Caenorhabditis elegans: one gene and its partner. The protein of the gene in region 2 interacts with the protein of the main gene of each other region in a pairwise test. Each region holds a gene or a part of one and is shown on either strand. Other genes may lie near its edges.

What was found. The genes of interacting proteins can lie anywhere in the genome.
Region 1: the proteins of phlp-2 (region 2) and brap-2 interact in a two-hybrid assay, tested with the Caenorhabditis elegans proteins (one study listed by BioGRID).

Annotation. Positions count from the first base shown.
Region 1 is NC_003280.10:5,391,450-5,395,207, reverse strand, and holds the start of brap-2 (BRCA1-associated protein homolog 2), read left to right. Parts: upstream 1-2,017; 5' UTR 2,018-2,021; coding exon 2,022-2,228; intron 2,229-2,277; coding exon 2,278-2,431; intron 2,432-2,478; coding exon 2,479-2,738; intron 2,739-2,785; coding exon 2,786-2,884; intron 2,885-2,946; coding exon 2,947-3,390; intron 3,391-3,758. Other genes in the region: pink-1 (Serine/threonine-protein kinase pink-1, mitochondrial), read left to right, coding at 1-47, 92-249, 298-527, 575-973, 1,021-1,741.
Region 2 is NC_003281.10:4,207,827-4,211,584, reverse strand, and holds the start of phlp-2 (Protein phosphatase PHLPP-like protein), read right to left. Parts: upstream 2,098-3,758; 5' UTR 2,094-2,097; coding exon 1,885-2,093; intron 1,085-1,884; coding exon 777-1,084; intron 660-776; coding exon 594-659; intron 541-593; coding exon 308-540; intron 1-307. Other genes in the region: R74.8 (RING-type domain-containing protein), read right to left, coding at 3,464-3,694, 3,747-3,758.

The DNA.
Region 1 (3,758 bases), on a different chromosome or scaffold from region 2:
TTTGAAAAGCACTGAATGGCCGAATAGAATTGATTCTTATGAGTTTGGTATGCTTTTTTCAGTGATATTTCTCCATTGTTTGAGTTTTCAGGGGAATTTCTCGGTCAAGGATGCAATGCAGCAGTTTACTCTGCGAGATTAGCCAATTCTGATGCAGAATCCTCAGGGAATACTCACTATGGTGCAGGGTTTAATGAAGTCACAAATATACTTGCAGAAATTCCGCCAGTTAGCAAAGTTGCACAAAAGGTAGTTGATAATCTTAATTCGATGATTAATATTGAAAAATCATTGCAGAAATTCCCGTTGGCAATCAAATTAATGTTTAATTTTGAACATGATCGCGATGGAGATGCTCATCTCTTGAAATCAATGGGAAATGAATTGGCTCCATATCCGAATGCTGCAAAGTTGCTCAATGGACAAATGGGAACATTTAGACCTCTTCCAGCAAAACATCCAAATGTTGTTCGAATTCAGACAGCTTTTATTGATTCGTTAAAAGTTTTGCCAGATGCGATTGAACGGTTAGCTTTGAAATTTATTGATAATGATTGAGAATAAGATTTTCCAGATATCCAGATGCCCTTCACACTGCACGTTGGTATGAGTCAATTGCCTCCGAACCGAAAACAATGTACGTAGTAATGAGACGATACCGACAAACACTTCATGAATATGTATGGACTCGTCATCGAAATTATTGGACAGGACGAGTGATAATTGCTCAACTATTAGAAGCATGTACATATCTTCATAAGCATAAAGTTGCTCAGCGAGACATGAAAAGTGATAATATTCTTCTGGAATATGATTTTGACGACGAGATTCCCCAATTAGTTGTCGCCGATTTTGGATGTGCACTTGCATGTGACAATTGGCAAGTAGACTATGAATCAGATGAAGTTAGTCTTGGAGGAAATGCCAAGACAAAAGCACCAGAAATTGCGACGGCTGTTCCTGGAAAGAATGTGTATGTTTTGAAGTTTAGAGTACTGTATATAATCAAAGTTTTTACAGAAAAGTAAACTTCGAAATGGCAGATACATGGGCAGCTGGAGGCCTTTCTTATGAAGTTCTAACACGATCAAATCCATTCTACAAACTTCTTGATACTGCAACATACCAGGAATCAGAACTACCAGCACTCCCATCTCGTGTCAATTTTGTGGCACGAGATGTCATTTTTGACCTACTCAAGCGAGATCCTAATGAAAGAGTCAAGCCGAATATTGCTGCAAATGCGTTGAATTTGTCATTGTTCAGAATGGGAGAAGATGTGAAGCAGATGATGGAAAAATGTGGAATATCTCAAATGACTACTCTATTGGCTGGAAGTTCTAAAGTTTTGAGTCAAAAAATCAATAGTCGTCTGGACAAAGTGATGAATCTGATTACTGCTGAAACTATCATGGCCAACCTAGCTCCACATTTGATTAGTCGAGCAGAACGACAACTTCGAGCAACATTTCTTTCAAGAATGAATCGAGAAGATATTTGGAGAAGTCTTCAATATTTCTTCCCAGCTGGTGTTCAACTTGACACACCTGCCACATCATCAGACTGTTTGGAGACTATTTCCAGTTTGATGTCGAGTTTTTCAAATGATTCAGAAAATTACGAGAAGCAACAGAAACCGGCTAAAAATGGATACAACAATGTTCCACTTCTTCTCAGAAATGTTATCCGTACAGATGCGGATGGAATCAATGGAATTGTACATAGAGTTCGATCTAAATAGATTTGTTTTAACGATTACTGTAGTTTGAAACCTCTAGATTACATATGTAATAACCTTTTTTTTTTACTTGTTGGTATTTTTCAAATTGTACAATCACTTTTCATGCCAGTCTATTGCGTTCTTTTGTCTAATTACGGTTTATCATTCCCTCATTTATGGAAAATATCATACCTTATTACTTTTTATTGTTCAAATACTGGTGGTTTTTAACCATTTTATACTACTTCATTACATCCTATTATTTCAGATCTCAGATCCTCTAACTGTAACTTTTAGGTGTATGAGCAGTCTTTACGTGCCATTAGTTTTACGGCTCGAAGTGAGAGACCGGACAAAAATCGTGCAATCTTTTATCGACGACTCGAAAGCAGGAAGTGAATCCCCACTGGCAGGTGAACGGACTCGTCAGAGACTAGTCAAAAAAGGAAATACTCCTCCAAAAAAGGAACTGAAAGGCAGAGAAGAAGATCCGCCAATTGGAGTTATGGTATATAGATCAAATTTTATTGAGACTAAAAGCTTAATCTGATTTTCAGTCATCCGAGCCATCACACAACTACCACAAAGGACGACGGACCTATTCTGAAGTGGTCATCGAATCTTTAGATGGAGAAAAACTTGTTGACTCGAGTTCTTCGGTTGCCGGAACATCGGAAAAATCTGGTGGAAGATCTGTTTCAGAAGGACCACGTGAGTTTGAAACATGTGAGATGGAAAATGAAATCTAAAAATTTCAGCTGACCAAGTTGCCTATTATTCTGGAAATCCTCTCACGGAAAAGACCGAAGGAATTATGCATTTTTACAAGTACAATGATGAGAAGTTGACAAAAGTTGCACAGTGCCGAATGTTGTGTATGTATGCTGTACCAGCACAAGTTGAAGTTCGTGAGATTATATCATTCATGTGTATCTCACTTCCGATGATTGTTAGTATTAAAGTTGTTCGAGATCCAGCGCCAAATCAGTATATGTTGATTATCAAGTTCAAGGAACATGTAGGTTCAAGTTATACTAACGATTAATTGGCAAATATTTATTTCAGAATGATGCTGTAACATTCTACGAGGAATTCAACAATTGCCCGTTTAATGATCTCGAATCGTATTGTTGCACGCTTTTCTTTGTGGATAGAATTGAATGTGTAAGTTATTATTATTTTATTTCAATAATTCCAGATATTTCGAAACAATTTATAAATTTCAGACAACGTCGAATGATCTCTTCTCCTCCGATGATACATCTCTTACGGAGCTTCCAACTTGTGCAGTTTGTCTGGAACGAATGGATGATAGTGTTCTTGCAATTCTATGTAATCATTCATTTCATGCTCGTTGCCTGGAACAATGGGCAGACAATACTTGTCCAGTCTGTCGATATGTTCAATCTCCAGAAGTTGTCGCAGAGCAACGTTGTAATGATTGTGGAATGAGCAACGATCTATGGATTTGTCTAATTTGTGGAAATATAGGTTGTGGAAGATACGCAGAACAACATGCACAACGACATTGGGAGCTCACTTCACATACTTATAGTTTGAAAGTTGGAGGAGAACGAGTCTGGGATTATGCTGGAGACAATTACGTGCATAGATTGATTGAAAATGGAGCTGATGGGAAACTTGTCGAGTATCAGAGAGAATCGAATGCGGTATGTTCATACTGGACCAAAAAAAAATTGTTGATTTAAAAACAATAATTTTTTGTTAAAAAACTGGTGGAAACAAAAAAAAAGAATGTTTTGAGGCTTCAAAGTGCCGAAAATCAACCTTTTCGTATAACTAATTTGAATTTCGCGCACTAATTAGTTTTGAAAATTCTCGGCCGTGTACTCCTCTCGGGCAATGAATCAATTAATTTTTTTGGATGCAATTTTTCGGGTTTTCTCATTGAATTCTATTGGTTTTTGTTTGAAAACAAATATATATATATATATATATGCGTCTGTAAATGCGTTTCAAATTAATTATCACACAAATACTTTTGTTCTGCCTAGGAATAAGTGCTAAAATCCTGTAA
Region 2 (3,758 bases):
CGCTTTGGATATGGTTTTTTGGAACTTCGCACTGGCTACAAAATACCACTTATTTTAGGCCAGACAGCTATGTTTCGATTTACGCAGCTCGTGTACTTCTCGAGGAGAAGTATGCTTTTTACTTTGCAATTTTTGGCAGAAATTCATGGTTTTGAACCTATTAACCTAATTCATTTGTATTTATTTGTTCCAGCCTAGATTAATGCATTTACTGTTTAAAAACTATAAATTCTTGTATCCAGTAAATTCATTGATTTCTAGATAAACCACGTTTGAAAGTAAAGTTTGGAAGAGTAACCTTTTGTACCTTTTCAGTTGGTGGCCTAGAAATCAGCGAGTTTCTTCTTAAATTCAAAATTTGAACTCTCGCTTCATTATTCAAAATCTGTTCAGGTATTAATGTCAATTGCTCGTCACTTGCATCCACGTGGTTACTCTTCTCCACTTGTTGAGCCCGTGTAAGCCATGCTTCTAGAATATTCGGTCTTTGAAAGATTATAAGATAACACACATCATCATCTTTTAGTCGAAGAGCTCTTCCTGAAAATTGGTGGAATTCATTGGGTAGTTAACGGCTAGATCTTTGGTCAAACCTCTTTTGGACTCATGTACATCTACTTTCATATTTCGAATTTGAAGAGCCTCATCTTGGTTGTTTTCTGAAAAAAGTGTCTGCGTTTTCATTTCAAACTCTCGCAAGCTAGGCTCTGACCAATCAACGACGTTGGCCACGCCCCCGCTTCTCGCTGATTGGTCGGTGCCCTTCAATAACTCACTGGTTTGCAATCGAATATTTGAATTGTAAAATACGGCTCGCGCATTTTGCCACGTGTGAATTAGCTTTCCTTTTCGTATCACAACTTCTTCACTTAGAATATCCAAATTCAATGTACTCTTCGCACGAATTCTTGGCCGGCCCAGAAAAAAGCTAAAAATATGGCGGAATGCCGGCGAATCAGTGTATGATAAAATATCTTCCAAGGCTTTCGATGTGCTTTCAGTCTCCAGATTCTCATCGGACATTGTTAGAATTCGGCAGAAATCTTGAAGAATCGCAAGTGGAGAGGTGTCGGATTTTAGCTGCCTGTGAGATGGTTAGAATAAGTTTATGATTTTTCTTGTGTAATTTGCGACGTATCAGTTCGGTGAACCTCACTGTTTCCAAAACTGTGCAAACACCGACACCGATGCGCCTTAATTGATGGCCAAGTACAATTTTCCAGTTAAAGTAAAAGCGCGCTCTAACGTCGAATTCCCAATATAATTTGGGTCTCATTAGGTATTAGCGGCAAAATTGTAGATCTTTTTCAATTGTACACTTTTTCAGTTTTTTTTTTGCAGATTTTACCTTTTTCAAACATTTTTTCGTTCTGGTTTTTTTAAAATCTTTCTGCTGTTTTAACGATTTTTATGTCAAAATTTGTTTTCTAAAAGCATTTTATTTTATTTATTTTGACATAAAAACCTTCAATTTAAAATTACAGAAAAAAGTGGAAAACGTTTGAATTTTCGGTTTTTGCCAAAAAATGCCTGCCTGCCTACGAGCTTCATCTAAGCATACGCCTGCCAGTTTTTAATTTCTTTGATGAATTTTCAACAAATTCGTTGACAAGATAAAACTAGAAATTTGTGAATTTGTAGGCCGGTAGGCGCACGCAGGTACGTCGGTACGTAGGCAGGCACGCTCGCCGAACCTGCCTACTATAAAAACCCTAATGCAATAATGTCTCGTGTCATTCTAAGAGTGTTCACCCAGTTCCAGTTGGCCGTAATTTCATTTCAATTAAACTTGACGGGCGGTCCATTTAACTGTGAAAGGAATAATTTATTAGCTTACTTTCGGAAAAAATCCTCATTTTTTACAATTACGAGGAAATGACTCACCGAAAATGGTAATTACCAATTTGAAGAGTAATCACATCACATGAAAATTGTTGACATATTTGAGCACAAGTTGTGTGCTCATCACATTCTATACGTGTACTACGTTGTCCATCTGATGAGTAAAGTCTCAGAAATCTCGACTTTTTCTCAATTGGTTTTAGTAGAGTTGATGGGGATGATGACGTGGATTGTAGTTGCTCGTTGTTCATTCGGAGCTATAAAATTGGAAAAGTTAGTAGATTAGACTCCGAGTACTGTAGGAAATTGCGCGTTAAAGGTGATGCATTGAGTTGAGTTTTAATTATATGCAATCTCACTATCAGGCAAACGAAACCCATCCTGATCCCAAAAAATACCTGAGCGTGCACGACATGACTGGTTTGGGTTTTGAGTGGGATCCGCTTGGGTTTTGAGTGGGATCTACTTGGGGTTTGAGTGGGATCTACTTGGGGTTTGAGTGGGATCTACTTGGGTTTTGCATGGGATCCCTTTGGGTGTCTGAACCACCCAAATGGATCCCACTATACCCAAATGGATCCCACTATACCCAAATGGATCCCATGTAAAACCCAAGCGGATTCCACGAAAAACCCAAACCAGTCATGTCGGGGTCCACTTGGGTTTCGTTTGCCTGAGATTCGTCACATTTTTTAAAGTTAAAATATTATTATCGATAAAAAATTCGGCTTTTCCTGGAAAAACTTTTTTTTCGTATTATCCAGGAATTTCTTGATTTTTGAAATAATAGTTCTTTATTTTCCGTTGAAATAAAGATATTTAGGACAAATCAGTATCTCCTCCTGTTATTTTTTGGTCTTGGAACGAGGGAAACTTTTTACCGTACCCTTGGATTTTTTTCCAATTTTCCCAACAATTTCTTGATATTTTTAATTTTGAACCTATGAAATGCTTTAAAATGGGCAGAAACAGGTTTATTATATCAGGAGAAAATGAAAAAGATTGAGCGCTTACCGTACGCGAGGGTACGGTAACTGATAAGTTTATATCGCGTCGAGACCCGAGATAGAACAGTGAGACCCGAACATGAAACAAAATATTTTAACAAATGAGGAATTATATGAAGATTATCGAGATCCTCAAGAACCCTTGAAAGTTTCGAAAAAAAAAGCGGAGAAGCAGAAGCCATAAGTACTTGATGAAGGTGGAAGAAGTGTCCGGTTGGTCATTTGTCTCTCTCCCAGTCAGTCATCCAGTAGAATCCACTCGTGTGACATTTCAATGCAGTTAATTGGCCTACCGTCCCTCTGTGTGTGTGTACACTTCTGGATAATAATAATGGTAGAATAGGAGTAGGGAGAGGCTTGCGTGACGATAGACGAGGTCATTCAATTTGTACAGAAAAGAGTTCAAAGAGCGGATCGAAAAGAGGAGGGATTGATGGCTTTTGCTGTTGTAACGGAAAGCGGTTCGTTTTCTCCACGATACTTCATATTTTAAAAGAGAAAATGCGAAAAAAGGAATGGAACACGTAACTGGGTGAGAGGGGGGAACAGTAGAATATATAAAAATACAACTCTTGGAAGTAAAAATTAATGACATTTTCTGTATTGCACATGATTTAAAATCGGCGATTTTGGTAGTTCTCTCGGCTCTGCTTCGGCTGATATGGAGGAGCCTTCCACGGTGTGATGTTCTCGATCGACTCCATCTTGACCCAATGGAGCTTCTGCTGCGCGTGCACGTCGAGAATTATTCCCTCACCGGAACTGGAAATATGGAATGATGACATATATGGGAGTGGGAAGTCACTCGAAATCCGATGGAGGAATTTATAGTCGGTGTCGTAGAGCTGGAAATAGAATATTTAAAATACTTTAGCTCACTTCATTCAAATTGCGAACCTTTATGGTGTG